2 linked regions of the Nothobranchius furzeri genome follow. The main gene of each other region encodes a partner of the protein of the gene in region 2 in a complex. Links are inferred from orthologs where the notes say so. Each region holds a gene or a part of one and is shown on either strand. Other genes may lie near its edges.

Region 1 (8,188 bases), on a different chromosome or scaffold from region 2:
AAATCTTTAAATAGAACAAAGTTACTGAATGAATCGTTTCTGTAAAGATCAGAAGTCTGACCTATTTGTTGGGATTATTACAGCTAATCTGGATTAAACTGTTTGTATCAGAACTTCTTGTTTTAAACTACTGCGGAATGTCTTCTGCCCCATCAGTGACGTGACGCCAACGCCTTATATGGCCGGGTTCCGGTGTGAGCGGAGGTCTGAGATCACTTTTAAGTCTAACGGCGACAGTAGAGGACTGGACTCAGACACGGACGGGTTCTAGATCCGGACCTGTGACGCAGAACCTGTCAGGATGACCCGGTCAGCGCGTGTCCTCCCGGTCCTGCTGCTCTCCCAGGCTGTCTCCGGTGAGTCCCCTCCCGGTACAAACGCTTGGAACAGAACGGACCCGGTTCCGTGGAGCTGGTTCATTAGAACTCAGACCAGAACCGGGTTGGTTAAAAGGTGCCTACCTCTCGCGCGCGCCTGCGTGAAGTGAATATTTAACTTAATGAGATCAGAGAACAGAACCGCGTTATTAGTTTATCACACAGGAAAATGTTATTTATTTAGTTAGTTAGTTAAACGCTTTAAAGCAACAAGAAAAATGAAAGATTATTTTAAAATACGTAAAGGAGCTGAAACTTAATCCAGATTATTAACGAAAACCCAGATTTGTGTCAAATATCCTTTAAGGAGGATTTCTGTTCCATCCCCGATATCAAATCAAATCAAATCAAATCAAAGCTTTATTTATAAAGCGCCTTCCGCAACCCTGTCAGGAAGCCCAAGGCGCTGAACATGGTAGAGTACAAAGTTAAAGAAAGTGAATAAATCAGAAAATAAAAGCAATTCAAATTACAGAGTACAAATTACAAAAAAGGTGCCTTTAACCACGCAGTGATGGAGGTGATGGACTATACATGTACATCATCAGCTGTGTGATGACGTCACCTAGAGGCAGGATGTGGAATCGAAATGTTGAAGGTGTCAGATCTGAAACCCCAGTAGGGTTACCGTTTGAGCTCATGTATTATTCTGATTCGGTAATCTGCAGGGATTAGACTGGGTCCAGCTCCAGGCTATAAAGGAGGTCAGAACCTGTGGCTATAAAGTTACAGGACTGTCAGTGTCAGCAGCATGACCTTGATTTGAGACTGAATCAGTTTGCTCACCACACGTTGGATTGAGTCGTCTGATCACAGACAAGAATTCATTTCGGTTTGTCAGAAGTGGCTTCCTGGCTTCTACAGCGTCTGCTGATCCATGTCAGCATCACCGTTCACCCTCGCTGAGACCGCACATTTTCATCACAGAAACAGTCTCTGCACCACCTTAAAACATGTTCTGGATCCAGACTCAGAGAACCAGACCTTAAGTCCTACTCCAGACATCAGCAGAGCATCACGGTGTTACGATGGTGACGAGAGGATTCTTCAGACAGGCTGGGTGGTTTATAGACTATTCAGCAGCTCTTAAACCTCCAGAGTTTTGGGAAAGTTTCCTATATTACTTTTCATGAACTGTTTATCGTCCACCATTAGAATCAAACGATCAAACTTTACACTGAATTTAATAATGAAAATATTTTTAATATTTTTATTTATGCAGGGAATTAAGAGGTAAGTTATTATTATTATTATTATTATTATTATTAAGTAAATACTACCACTACTAATCATAATAATATTAATGCAAGTGAATAATTTACAACCTTTTGTTTAGACAGCTATATTTAAAGTTTCTTTTGTTTACTATTTTTAAATAAAGGGACTAAAACAGCCGCTGGCTGACCTGCTGTTAGAGGGATTCTCTAAAGTTCAGGTCTCCATCAGATTATGAGATGTTTAGTGGAAAACTGCAGCGCCAGAGCTTTTTTTCCACAGAGAATGCCTCACAAGGCATTCATTCATTCCACTGCAGCAGATTTATTGAACTATTGAGTGAATGAGAGCTTTAAGGTCCTACAACTCCTAACATGCACGAGTCTGTTCAGTTTCATCCCACAGATGGATTATGGATCACTGGAGGGCGAGGTTCAGGAAGTATCTGGTTTAATCCTCTGCTTTTACCTGTTGGAGAAACTCTAGTGGAGTAAATAAGATCAGACGACTCCAAAGCCAAGGCAGAACCTTTATCTGAGGACATAGTTGAGCTCCAGGTTCTCAGCCCCGAGGCTGATTCTCAGATCTCTCCTGAACTTTTGTCTGCATCTCTGAATTTTACAGTTTAAACAACAACAACAAAAAAAATCAGTAAAATGCTTCCATAACTTCAGAGTAAAGAACCAGTTTCTTCTGGAGGCTGTTGATGTACCATGGTCACATCTGACCTTTAACCTTTGACTTGAACCACCTCTGTGGAACTGAACCAAACACCTTCTGTGTTGCAGCCATGTTTCCTCGAGCCCAGAACATCTCGTGGAAGTCCACCAACTTCAAGACGGTTCTGACCTGGGAACCCAAACCGTCAGCTGATTACTCGTACACAGTGGAGTTCTCAGTGTGAGTATCACCAGTTTGCCCAGTTTAACCAGCAGAACACCCAAATGTCACACAGAGAAACCAGATCTGCTGGAGTTATGTTCAGATTATTATATTCTGGTCGACACGTTTGACTGGTGGAGCTCAGGTGACCAATAGGACCACTGCGGGTCAGAACTGGTTATGGTGTAACGGTCCAGTCGTTTAGAACGGGACGTGCACAGTGAGTGGTCGAAGGTTTTCCAGCATTCCACGATTCAGAGGAGATTCAGATCATTCATTGTTTTGACTAAACATTACGGGTTTTTTTTTTTTGTTGCCACCAGTTTTAACATTTAGAGCAATGAGGCAAGAATGTTCCAGCTTCAACCATCACTTAGAGTCGGTTTCAAAACCCGCCAGGAACGACTGTTACTGTTAACAGAAGAAGAAAGCTTTAAGGTCTGAAACATTAGAGCTGCCCTACGTACGACCTTTAGAGGAAACTGCAAAAACAGGAAGTTGAGCACGCTAAAGACTTAGTTAAAGGGTCAGAGGTTACACAGTCCTGAATGCTGTCGAACAGATAAAGTGTTACAGCTGCGGTGGCTCAACTCAAAGAGCCGCCAGGAGTTCTGTCCCCCTCAGGACCACGTCTGGCTCAGGCTGGACCTTTCTGGATGGTGTGAATGTGTGTGTGTTCCTATCAGAAACGTGAGATATGAGCTTTCATGTAGCTGATTTCATGTTGTTGTTTTTTCTTCACATGGGTACTGTTGTTATCACTGAGAAGCTGAATGCCAGGTCCCAGACAGAGACCCGACCTGAGAACGAGCTAAATAATACGTTAGAGAGAAGAACATCTGAACTGCCCTGTGTTAAACACACACACTGTGTGTGTGTGTGCGTGCGTGCGTGCGTGTGTGCGTGCGTGTGTGTGTGTGTGTGTGTGTGTGTGTGTGTGTGTGTGTGTGTGTGTGTGCGTGCACACACTACAGGGTTGGAGGGGACAAAGAGCGAAACCATCACTGTGTCAGATCCAGCTCTACGACCTGTGACCTGTCTATGTCTCTGACTAACCTGGATGTCTGCTACACAGCTGACATCTTGTCAGAACCCCCGCTTGGTGTGACCTCTGACCTCACAGAGTTCCCACACAGCAGCGCACCTCGTTTCTGCCCGACCACAGACAGTAAGTGCCTCCGTCTGCCTTCGTGTCCTCCCACATCATCGTCATCTCCTGTCACCATGGAAACAGACATTACAAAAACGCAGCACAGTTAAAATCCAAATACCTGAGCAACACCGTCCACAGAGACTCCCAACACTGACCTGGAAACAGGTCGTTCTGTTCTGGTGCAGCAGAAGAAAGATCAGAGGAGAAAAGACCAGTCATCTGTTCACTAGATAGAAATCAACACACTGTATGTGCTCTGCTTTGGAACAGAAAGGGTTTTACCTTTTACTCTCCTTTTGAGTCACTCCTTGGCTGCTCCTAGAAATTATGAACAGAATCCAGGACAAAACCCCCAACGTTTACTGAAATGATTCTGATGCCATCCAAAACAACCTTTGTCAGGGATTCAAAAAGCCCTTAGAAGGTCACGTGAATCCCCACAGGACACCTTGATAGACAGGACCGTAGGCCTTTACTAAGTCAATAAAACACATGAAGACTGGCTGGGCAACTCCTGTTGCACCCTCACTCTCCCTGGTATAGACCTTGCCGGGGTGTCCGAGTAGAGGGAACGTACATACCCCTGGTTCCCTCTTTTGAAGGAAAGGACCACCGCCACAGTCTGCTAGCCCAAATGTACTGTCCCTGAAGTGTCAACCACCATCAGCATCTAAAGGCTTTGGAAACATGGGGGGGTCCTCATCTCTGGCTGAGATTGGATGATGGTTTGCCAGAAACTCTTTGAAGCCATCTTGGGTTGTACTCAGTGGTTGAGTGGTGCACACTTGTGACATTACTAAACATGAACTTATTCTACCTTAAAGAGATGCGTCACCATTGCAGCTGTTACACAACCCGAGTTTCACCAGACTCCTTCCACACTGGAGTTCAGTTTCTGCATCCTCTCAAGCACGGGTCTGCTCGGCCTGCCAGCTGCTTCAGGAGTCCCATGAGCTAATCAAGCTCAACACGCTGGTGGTCATTATGATGTAAGAAAATATCGACATGGCAATATATCACAATATTTTTTCCTGCGATATTATATCAATACTCAAAAGCCGTGTATCAGACTTTTGGAAGAATTTCTTTTGGTGTAATTCAAAGGCCGGCCACTAGGAAGCAGCAGTGTGCAACGGGTTTTGTTTCCACCACTGAAATGTAAATCCCTCCATTATGGTTCAGATACTTCATGTTAAACATGTTGCATATCAGTTTGGACTGTTTATTGAATTTTCCTACAATAATTTCAGTCTAAAAAATCGTTATTGTCATCTGGCTGAATGTATCGCAATATTCCGTGATATATATATATATATATATATATATATATATATATATATATATATATATATATATATATATATATATATATCGTCTCCCCTGTGTTGTGATATGTATCCTATCGCCAGAATTTCACCAATACACATCCCTAGTGGTCATCATGATATGCACCAACTACCCTATATCCTGAATTTCAAGCAGCTGCATCAGCAGTAGAGGCCTGGAACATGGTCCCATCAAATTCAAGGTCCACTGCTCCTCAGAAAGAAAAAAGCTGTACTGGAGGTGAAGTTTCTGCCTGACGTTCCCAGAACACCCTCACTGTTTGCTAGGGTGCACTGTTCAGCTTCTCCCCTCTCCACCTGATCCAGCTCACCATCAGGAGGTGATCAGTTGAGAGCACAGCTACTCTCTTCACCTGAGTGTCCAAATCACACTAAACATATCTGATGACATGATAATCAATCACTGACCTGCGAACCAGACTGTCTTGGTGCTACGTGTTGTTGTGGACGAACCGTGAAGTCAGACAACAAAAACCACCAGGGTCCAGATATGGTGAGACGGTTTTCCCAATCACACCCCTCCAGGTCCCACTGGTATTACTCATGAGGGTATTGAAGCCCAAGAAGGGTACTCTGACCTGTTGCTGGTGCTTATGCACAATGCCTGCCCTATATGATGGCAGAGCAAGATTTTCAGCTGGGCAACAAGCCACAGGTAAACCCATCCCCACTCAGCACCTCTACCCCAGGCTGGACTCCAGAGTGAGCCCGGGTATCCCTAGTCCTTGGTGAGGTTTCCTGGTTTTTAGTTCTTGTAGTCACCTCATCTAGAACCAATCTGTCATGGGATAGCCTACCAGAGGCAGACATGCCCCAAACAACATTTGTGTGCCACTCAACACCCCCACAATGCTAGGGTGATGATTTGTGGGGGTGTATGTGCTTTAAATAATCAACTCTCTCCTCTAAAGCCGACATTGGCCGACCAGAATTCCAGATAAAGGAGCACGAAGACAAAAAGTCTGTCACGCTGTACGTGTCAGACCCGCTCACCGCTCTCTTTAAAGATGGCCGCCAGCAGAACATCAGAGACATCCTTTCTGACAAGCTCTATTACAAAGTGACATATCGGAAAAATAAGAGCTCCGGGAAAGTGAGTAACAGCAAACGCGGCTGCCCTGATGACACGTTTGACAGACTTGTACTGGTGTAATGGTTTTCTTCTGATCTGTTGTTCAGAAAGAGTTGGAGTCCAAGTCCAGTAATATAGAAGTGACTGGTCTGGACCCAGAGGACGGCTACTGCTTCAGCGTCCAGGCCTCCATACCCAGCAGGACAGCCAAGCAGCTAGGGGAGATGAGTCAGACGGTGTGCTCCAACAACACCAACCAGTCCATCATCAAAGGTGAGCTGCCCTGAGGTTCACGTCCCACTGTCTCCATACACGTCCAGATGTGAAACCAATGTGTGTCCCAGAGAGAAACAAGATAGTAAACAGTATTTGGTCGGACTACTAAAGAAAGTGACCTACATCTCCCTGGTTCCAGTGTGAAGAACTTTGAAAGTATTAACCAGAAATGATCAGATCTTAAAAGTGTTCTGTTTAATCAATTTGTTTTGTCTGTTCTGACAAATGAAACATAATCAGTTATCTGTTTAATTATCTAGATGGAAGAATTAACTGATCTGAGTTTGAACAATGTTTTGTTGTTGGATTGTCCATTATGAACTCTAGACTCAAGACTCAAGACAACTTTATTAGTCCCCGAGGGGCAATTCGAGACAGCATTGTGAAGCAGCCGGCACTAAAATCTCTAAATTCTAAAAACACATCCAAATTACACATTTGTAAAACCCATAAAAACCTATATACACAATCATGTCATAAACTCACATGTGAATGACCAACAATGATTAAAACTTTGGCTCACTCACACACACACACACACACACACACACACACACACACATGTAACTACATGCACGCACACATACAAGTAATGCACACTCCCCCTATCTGCACTGAGAATTAAGAAGAAGCACAGCTCTGGGAACAAAGGAACTTCTCCTCCTCTGTGTTTTACAGCATGGGCATCGAAGTCGGCGTTTGGAGGGCAGCCACTCGAAAACAGTATGAAGAGGGTGTGATGGGTCTTTAATGATTTTCTGTGCTAAACTTCCTGTATGCTGGTCACATTGAGAAGTTAAGCTTCGCAGTGGTAGTCCAATGATCCGAGAGCACACCTTGACGGTGCTTTGTAGACGGCTTCTATACTGCAGGCTGACAGAATAAAACCAACAGGGGATGGAAAATGTGATAACACTCTCTATAAAAGAATAATAGAAAGTCAGTAAAATGTCCTTCCTGACTCCAAATCTACACCATCTACAAAGGTGTCCATATGTGCTCTTGGCACCAGGATACCTCAGGCTGCAGCTCGATAATCGACTTTGTTGTCGTCTCATCTGATCTGCGGCCGCATGTCTTGGACACTTGGGTGAGGAGAGGGGCGGAGCTGTCAACTGACCACTACTTGGTGGTGAGTTGGCTTCGATGGTGGGGGAGGATGCTGGTCTGACCTGGCAGGCCCAAAGATATTGGGAGGGTCTGCTGGGAACGTCTGGTAGAGTCTCCTGTCAAAAGACATTTCAATTCCCACCCCTGACAGAACCTTCAAAATGTTTTGGAGGAGGCGGGGGACATTGAGTTTGAGTGGAGCATGTTCCGTGCTTCCACTGTCGAGGCGGCCGACTGGAGCTGCGGCCGCAGGGTCATCGGTGCCTGCCGTGGTGGCCATCCTCGAACCCGCTGGTGGACAACGATGGTTGGGGATGCAGTCAAGCTGAAAAAAGAGTCTTATTGGGCGGAGTACTTCAAAGACCACCTGAATCCCACCAGCATGTCTTCCAGTGAGGAAGCAGAGTCTGGGGACTTTGGGTTAGCCTCTCAAATCTCTGGTGCTGAGGTCACTGGGGTGGTCAAAAAGCCCCACATGGCAAGGCTCCAGGGGTGGATGAGATCTGCCCAGATTTCTTTAATGCTCTGGATGTTGTGGGGCTGTGTTTGCTCACGCGGCTCTGCAGTATTGCGTGGACATCAGGGGCTGTTCTACTGGACTGGCAGACTGGGGTGGTAGTCCCCCTATTTTAAAAGGGGGACTGCAGGGTGTGTTCCAACTACAGGGGGCTCAAACTCCTGAGCCTGGTAAGGTCTATTAAGAGGTTCTGGAGAGGAGGGTCCGTTGGATTGTTGAACCTCGGTTTCAGAAGGAACA
Region 2 (7,722 bases):
ACAGTACTTAAAATAAGAACTCATGGTAGAAAGACTCCAGAAAGAAAGATTCCACATTTCAGAGGCTGTACTGCAAGGATCCACGGGTCCCATAAATAGATTGGAGCCCCCACCAATCCAGTTTCTCCTTCCATCAAACACCTTACAGGAAACATCAAACAAGTTTTCTTCTTCTGGAGTTCATTTTAAGTCAGAAGTTGGAGAACCACCACAATAGAGTGAGACAATCATCAGAGAGACATTTCAAGTAACAAAAAAGTGTTTCTTACTGGAATACGTCTTCCAGAACTCGTTCTGAGGAAAAGAAAAGAGCAGAACATCAGTGGAAGTACCAGCAGCACCTGCTGGGTTCTGTCAGTTTTCTGGACTCAGACTTCTAGATTCAGAGTTCATCTGGAACATCACTAACCGCCGTCTCTGTATGCTCAAACACCTCTCTGGCCTCCTCAAAGCTGCACTTCTCCTCCAAACACTCCCTCTCCAGATCTCCCGTTTTCAGCTCCTCAAACCAGCCGGAGTTGTACCTCCGAGTCCGGATCAGAACACCATGGGCCTGGTCTGGACCCAGAAAGACTGAGGAACACAGAACAAGTAAAGAATTGACCAGGATTGTAGTCATCAAGATATTTTTTAATAAATTCACTTAAAGAATCTGTTAATTGATAGTTGTGATTGTTTACAGCAGTTCTCTAGAGATCAGGGGGAGTTTTATGGGATGTTTAGCCAAGAACACCAACTATTAAACACCAGAAAGTTTTTTTTTTTGGATCCATCAGAAAAGAAATCAGGTGGACACAAGCTAGTTAACACTTAAACCATTCATTCCTTTAAACCACAAACTTTAATCTAAACCAGGAGTAGAATCCTGGTAAATGGTGATGTCACTTCCTGTTTTCAAGCAAGTCATTTAAATTCTGCTGTTTGTTTCATCTTTGGTGTATTGGTCAGTTTTTTGCTTCACTCATTTAATTATTACAAGTAATCCAGTTTTCAGTGTTTTTGTGTAAAACCAAGAACTCCTCGTTTTCTTGGCTTTTGCTGTTTAAAACCCAAAGATCGTTGAACTTAAGAGGCAAGTAAAAGTCAGAGTGGATGTTATCATTTGTTTGCATAACCTTCATTATCTAGCTGACAGCGCTGTTGCTATTAAAGACTAAACACGTCTTCTCTGATCAGAAGAACATACAATTCTCTCACCTGAAACTGAGCAGCAGCTCTGAAGGCTGAAGACCAACATGATGAAGACTCTCAGCCACATGCTTGACTTTGTCACAGGACTGCCGTCCTTTGCCTCCGTGGACATGAAGGTACAAAGTGCCCCCCCCCCCCCCACCCCCCAATTGCTGGTGACCATGGAAACACCTGAGTAGTGAAATGCAAGGGGATCGATGTTCAGATCACGTTTCAGTCCTGTAAACATCTGTCCGGGTCAATGGTCAAAGTTCCTCCAGTCACCAGTCTTACTCTCAGTGATGGAACATTTTAACCCTAGAATCATGCTATTTTACCACTGAAAGAATGTATGCGTTAATCAACTTAGAATAAAAACAAAGATGTTTAATTGGTAAAGAAAACCTCCAAAGAGTCAGTCTGTTGTTTTCATGTTGAAATTACTGACCAATTAAATAATAGATCAAATAATTTGTGAATCTAAATTATTGACATAAAAGATAAATCAAACTAAAACTTTAAGTTATTAATGAGCCCTGATATAAAGATTTGCCTGCTTTCTAATTAGTCTTGTGGTTATGATGGATATTTTACTGTCAAACATGTCACGAGTTGGGCAGGAGGAAGTTTAGGACCAAAGATGCAGAGAACCAGATGAACAAGGCAGGAAGTGGATGATGAAAATAAAATCCTTTATTTAGGAGTAATCCAAGAAGGCAGGGAGCCAAAAAAAACGAGAATCAAAAATCCAAATATCTAAACCGAGAGATGCTAAAACCATGGGAGCACAGGACCTGGAGGGGATACGGGGGGGGGGGGGGGGGGGGGGGACCCTAGAGGGGCTGCAGATCTGGGGACACATGAGGAACACAAGGAGACACATGAGGGAGACGTAGACAAGGACACATGAGGGCGCTGGGAGACACAAAGGGAGAACCTAGAGACGGATGAAGAACACAAGGAGACACATGAGGGAAGACGCAGACGCAGACAAAACAAAGCATTTTGTTCAATGAGGTCCCGCCCCCTCCCTCTCTGCTGTGCTTCAGCTCTTCCTTCAAAGCTCCTCCCACTCTTGTGTGTGTGAGTCCTGCTTGTGATTGGTTGTTCTCGTGTTTCATTGCTTGATGTGAGCTAAGATTTAGCCAACAGATACTAATGATGGTTATTAGCATAGGATCTAAACTGTTATGCAGAAGGAACAAAAAGTTCAGACTCAGAATAAATCAGCAGCAGTTTATTCAAACTTTCTCCACACTTTAAACTGTGACTTCTCACCACTGGTCTGACCCAGATTAACCAGTAGCCATAATTTTGTCGATCCAGTCCAGAAAGTTGCTGACTTTGGTGTAAATGCCGTACATATTTTCTTTAGCGCAGCCCATTCCCCAGCTCACCACGCCCGTTAGGAACCAGGTCTTCTTGTAGCGTGTTACCAGTGGGCCACCGCTGTCACCTTCACATGCGTCCTGGCCACCACGCCTTCGTCCTGCACACATCATGTTCTTGGTGATGTTGAGCTGCGTGTGGAGGCGACACTCCTGCGGGTGGACCTTTGGCACCACCAAACGCTGCAGGAATCGAGCAGAAGAACCAAACTCTAACAGGCGGCCCCACCCAGACACCGTGGAAAGGCGGACTAAAGACAGAGTCCGAGTGAAGGTGCTGTTGCGAGCAGGGAGGCAGATGGGCACCACGTAGCGCCCCAGTTTGATCGGGCGGTGCAGCTTGAGCAGAGCCAGGTCACTGTCGTAGGTGGAGTGACTGTAGTTTTGATGGATCACCACCTCAAGAACTCGCCGTTGCTGTTCAGTCTTCTCAGGCTCCTGTCGGTCATGTTTGCCTTCACACAAACACAGTTGGAGACAAAGACTGAGCCTGACTAAAAAAAGAGAAAAAAAAAGATAAGTAGTCCAACTTCAACCTTACCAACGGTGACGTGGAAGATGGCGACAGGCTTCGACCAAACGCAGTGAGCTGCTGTTAAAATCCACACTTCTGACAGGACAATGGCACCACATGTGAACTTGTTGTTTTCACTTAACATAGCCTGAAGAGACAGCAGAGACCAGGAAGGTCAAGTGGTCTGGGTCCAGCTGAAGAGCACCTGATGTGACTGGAGGGTAAAACGTACCTGCCATGGACACTGTCCTTTAGGACACATCTGACCATTGACAATCCTCGGGGTAAAATGTACCAATGGTCTTCCACAGACAACGGCCTCTAGACCACACCCACAACAGAACCGGTCAGCATGCTGCCTCTTATGCTAAATATCCAACAAGCTCTGAAAAAAACTCCCAAACAAGCTTGAAACCACAACCAGAAGAAGATACTCAACATGGACATTTGTTTTCAAAAGACACTCTGAAAGACCCTGAGAAGAAACCCCTTTCATACCAGTACTAGCTCTGGTTGTTGCCACACTCCAGTTTCAAGTCTTGTGGTTTCGAACTTTCCCCCTTTAGGGTTTATGTAGCAGGAACACATGGTCAACCTGGAGGAGATCCTCCCAGAGAAGTCCAACCAGGAATTCTGGGTAGATTCTGAAGTAACACCTAAATGAGCTTTGACCACTAGATTACTGGCTGAAAACACCAGTTTGGTTCCAACTAAATGTATGAATGTAAAGAAAACTGTCATCTGGTTAGGAATAAATGAAGGTGAGCTGCTCTGTTGTCACCAGATCCAGTTAACCTGTTAACCAGTTCAGACCTTTAGGCAGGCATGTGTTGTTGTCCTCATCCAGACCATATCCTGAAGCACAGAAACAGGAAGGAGATTGATCCGGGGGCTGTCTGCAGAAATGCTCACATCCTCCATTTCTGTAGCGACAGCTGTTTGGGGTTGAGCGGACTGCGAATGACAAGAGACAACGTGAAGAAACCCGAGACAACGTGAAGAAAGACCGAATGGAGACAACCTGAAGAAACAAGACAACATAAAACAAGACCAACAGGAATAGACAACATGATGAAACCAGAGGCAACATGAAGGAGGACCAGGAGAAGCATCTGACCTGTAGCTGCTGTTCCTACCTTTGTCACAGTTGAATCCGTGGAAGCCTGGTGAACATTTGCAGATGTAGCTGTCGATGTGACGAGTGCAGGTTGCTCCATTCTTACAGGGAGATGATGAGCAGTGGTCTACAGCTTGAAACAGGAAATGAAAAAGTCAACAAAAAGCAACGTTACCTTACATATGATCAATGCTGGAGTCTTCTCTACCTGTGTATGTCCTCCAGAAGTTCTCCTGGAAACAGAAAACACAATAAAAACAGAGAAGATTGTGTAACTAAAATGATTAAAATGATGGGTTTGACTATGAATTACCAGCTGCTGAGGTGTGGCAAAGATCTCCCTGGCTTCCTCATAGGAACATTTCTCTTCCAAACATTCTCTCTCCAGGTTTCCTAATTTCACCTCCTCCAGTAAGAAGTTTGCACGACGAGTACGATGCAGGAAAATGTTGGCCTCACGTTGGTCCAGAAGCATTCCTCCTTTATCGAAAAATAGAAGAGATTAACTAAAAGCACACCATAAGCAAAAGGTCTTCATGTCCGCTGGAATTAGATGAAAAAACTTTGGTACAAACCTGAGGGCAGAACTCATCAGAATATTTCTAAAATGTTACTAAAACCCAAATCTTACTTCAGCAAGGAAATTAATATGAGGAGGAAGATCTACAGATCTCCAAGTCTGAGAAATATGATTAATAAATATTATGGTCTCACCACCAGCACCAAAGACAAAGGTTTTGCTTCCAAACCTGGATCCTTCTCTCAATCTTCCCAAATCCTTCTCATATCCAGACATCTCATATCCAGACCATCTCATATTCAGACATCTCATATCCAGACATTTCATATCCAGACATCTCATATTCAGACATTTCATATCCAGACATCTCATATTCAGACATCTCAGACATCTCATATTCAGACATTTCATATCCAGACATCTCATATTCAGACATTTCATATCCAGACATCTCATATCCAAACCATCTCATATCCAAACAATCTCATATCCAAACCATCTCATATCCAAACAATCTCATATCCAAACCATCTCATATCCAGACCATCTCATATTCAGACATCTCATATCCAGACATCTCATATTCAGACATCTCAGACATCTCATATTCAGACATTTCATATCCAGACATCTCATATTCAGACATTTCATATCCAGACATCTCATATTCAGACATTTCATATCCAGACATCTCATATCCAAACCATCTCATATCCAAACAATCTCATATCCAAACCATCTCATATCCAAACCATCTCATATCCAGACATCTCATATCCAAACAATCTCATATCCAAACCATCTCATATCTAGACCATCTCATATCCAGACATCTCATATCCAAACCATCTCATATCCAAACCATCTCATATCCAGACATCTCAAATCCAAACCATCTCATATCCAGACATCTCATATCCAGACATCTCAAATCCAAACCATCTCATATCCAGACCATCTCATATCCAAACCATCTCATATCCAGACATCTCATATTCAGACATTTCATATCCAGACATCTCATATTCAGATATTTCATATCCAGACATCTCATATCCAAACCATCTCATATCCAAACAATCTCATATCCAAACCATCTCATATCTAGACCATCTCATATCCAGACATCTCATATCCAAACAATCTCATATCCAAACCATCTCATATCTAGACCATCTCATATCCAGACATCTCATATCCAAACCATCTCATATCCAAACCATCTCATATCCAGACATCTCAAATCCAAACCATCTCATATCCAGACATTTCATATCCAGACATCTCAAATCCAAACCATCTCATATCCAGACCATCTCATATCCAAACCATCTCATATCCAGACATCTCATATCCAGACATCTCATATCCAGACCATCTCATATCCAGACATCTCATATCCAGACATCTCATATCCAGACCATCGCATATCCAGACCATCTCATATCCAGACATCTCATATCCAGACATCTCATATCCAGACCATCTCATATCCAGACATCTCATATCCAGACATCTCATATCCAGACCATCTCATATCCAGACATCTCATATCCAGACATCTCATATCCAGACATCTCATATCCAGACATCTCATATCCAAACCATCTCATATCCAGACATCTCATATCCAAACCATCTCATATCCAGACATCTCATATCCAGACATCTCATATCCAAACCATCTCATATCCAAACCATCTCATATCCAGACCTCTCATATCCAAACCATCTCATATCCAAACCATCTCATATCCAGACATCTCATATCCAAACCATCTCATATCCAAACCATCTCATATCCAAACCATCTCATATCTAGACATCTCATATCCAAACCATCTCATATCCAAACCATCTCATATCCAGACATCTCATGTCCAAACCATCTCATATCCAAACCATCTCATATCCAGACATCTCATATCCAGACATCTCATATCCAAACCATCTCATATCCAGACCATCTCATATCCAGACATCTCATATCCAAACCATCTCATATCCAAACCATCTAATATCCAGACATCTCATATCCAGACATCTCATATCCAAACCATCTCATATCCAAACCATCTCATATCCAGACATCTCATATCCAAACCATCTCATATCCAGACCATCTCATATCCAGACATCTCATATCCAAACCATCTCATATCCAGACATCTCATATCCAAACCATCTCATATCCAGACATCTCATATCCAAACCATCTCATATCCAGACATCTCATATCCAAACCATCTCATATCCAGACATCTCATATCCAAACCATCTCATATCCAGACATCTCATATCCAAACCATCTCATATCCAGACATCTCATATCCAAACCATCTCATATCCAGACATCTCATATCCAAACCATCTCATATCCAGACCATCTCATATCCAAACCATCTCATATCCAGACATCTCATATCCAGACATCTCACATCCAAACCATCTCATATCCAGACCATCTCATATCCAGACATCTCATATCCAAACCATCTCATATCCAGACATCTCATATCCAGACCATCTCATATCCAAACCATCTCATATCCAGACATCTCATATCCAGACCCTTTCATATCCAGACCATCTCATATCCAGACCAGCTCATATCTAAATAAAAATGTTCTCTATAACGTAATTTTTAAAAATCTTATTAAAATTAACTTTTACAGATTTTTTAAACATATTAACACCAATCCTGATTTTATAATATATTATATTTAATACAATTTCATAAAGTCCTGCTCACTAAAATCAGTTAGAGAAATAAATATTATAGAACAAACTAATAAAACAGGAAAAGTTTAAGCCATCAGATTGTGTAATCTGCTTGTGGTCTGCACTCCTCTGATGGAGTCCTGATGGGAACGGATCCCTGAGGTGAAGAAGAAGAGTTGAAGGAACAAACTGACCTCCTTGAGTCCCAGTGCATGATGGGAGAGAAGCAGTGATGAGCAGTAGGAAGAAGACACGACTCGTCTTTTTGCTGATGAACGCCATGATTGTTGTG

What was found. Proteins that work in one complex are often made in the same cells at the same time.
Region 1: the proteins of f7l (region 2) and f3a are in contact, whole or in part, in a crystal structure (PDB 6R2W), measured with the Homo sapiens proteins. The link is inferred for Nothobranchius furzeri from reciprocal best matches to the Homo sapiens genes F7 and F3. Residues at the interface, in NP_000122.1 of Homo sapiens: Leu73, Lys78, Phe91, Arg96, Leu99, Phe100, Ser103, Ser120, Lys122, Gln124, Leu125, Ile129, Cys130, Phe131, Cys132, Leu133, Pro134, Phe136, Glu137, Gly138, Arg139, Lys145, Gln148, Ile150, Val152, Asn153, Glu154; in NP_001984.1 of Homo sapiens: Thr49, Asn50, Lys52, Ile54, Glu56, Trp77, Lys78, Ser79, Lys80, Phe82, Tyr83, Glu88, Asp90, Asp93, Gly141, Gln142, Thr144, Glu162, Arg163, Thr164, Leu165, Arg167, Phe172, Tyr188, Trp190, Lys191, Ser192, Ser194, Ser195, Gly196.

The regions. Positions count from the first base shown.
Region 1 is NC_091747.1:36,261,243-36,269,430, forward strand, and holds the start of f3a (coagulation factor IIIa), read left to right. Parts: upstream 1-200; 5' UTR 201-301; coding exon 302-356; intron 357-2,380; coding exon 2,381-2,492; intron 2,493-3,448; coding exon 3,449-3,642; intron 3,643-5,884; coding exon 5,885-6,066; intron 6,067-6,152; coding exon 6,153-6,318; intron 6,319-8,188. UniProt on the Homo sapiens protein: Initiates blood coagulation by forming a complex with circulating factor VII or VIIa. The [TF:VIIa] complex activates factors IX or X by specific limited proteolysis.
Region 2 is NC_091743.1:82,201,516-82,209,237, reverse strand, and holds the end of f7l (coagulation factor VII), read right to left. Parts: 5' UTR 7,713-7,722; coding exon 7,625-7,712; intron 4,670-7,624; coding exon 4,503-4,669; intron 4,423-4,502; coding exon 4,398-4,422; intron 4,323-4,397; coding exon 4,209-4,322; intron 4,027-4,208; coding exon 3,886-4,026; intron 3,394-3,885; coding exon 3,305-3,393; intron 3,221-3,304; coding exon 3,100-3,220; intron 3,014-3,099; coding exon 2,466-3,013; 3' UTR 2,393-2,465; downstream 1-2,392. UniProt on the Homo sapiens protein: Initiates the extrinsic pathway of blood coagulation. Serine protease that circulates in the blood in a zymogen form. Factor VII is converted to factor VIIa by factor Xa, factor XIIa, factor IXa, or thrombin by minor proteolysis.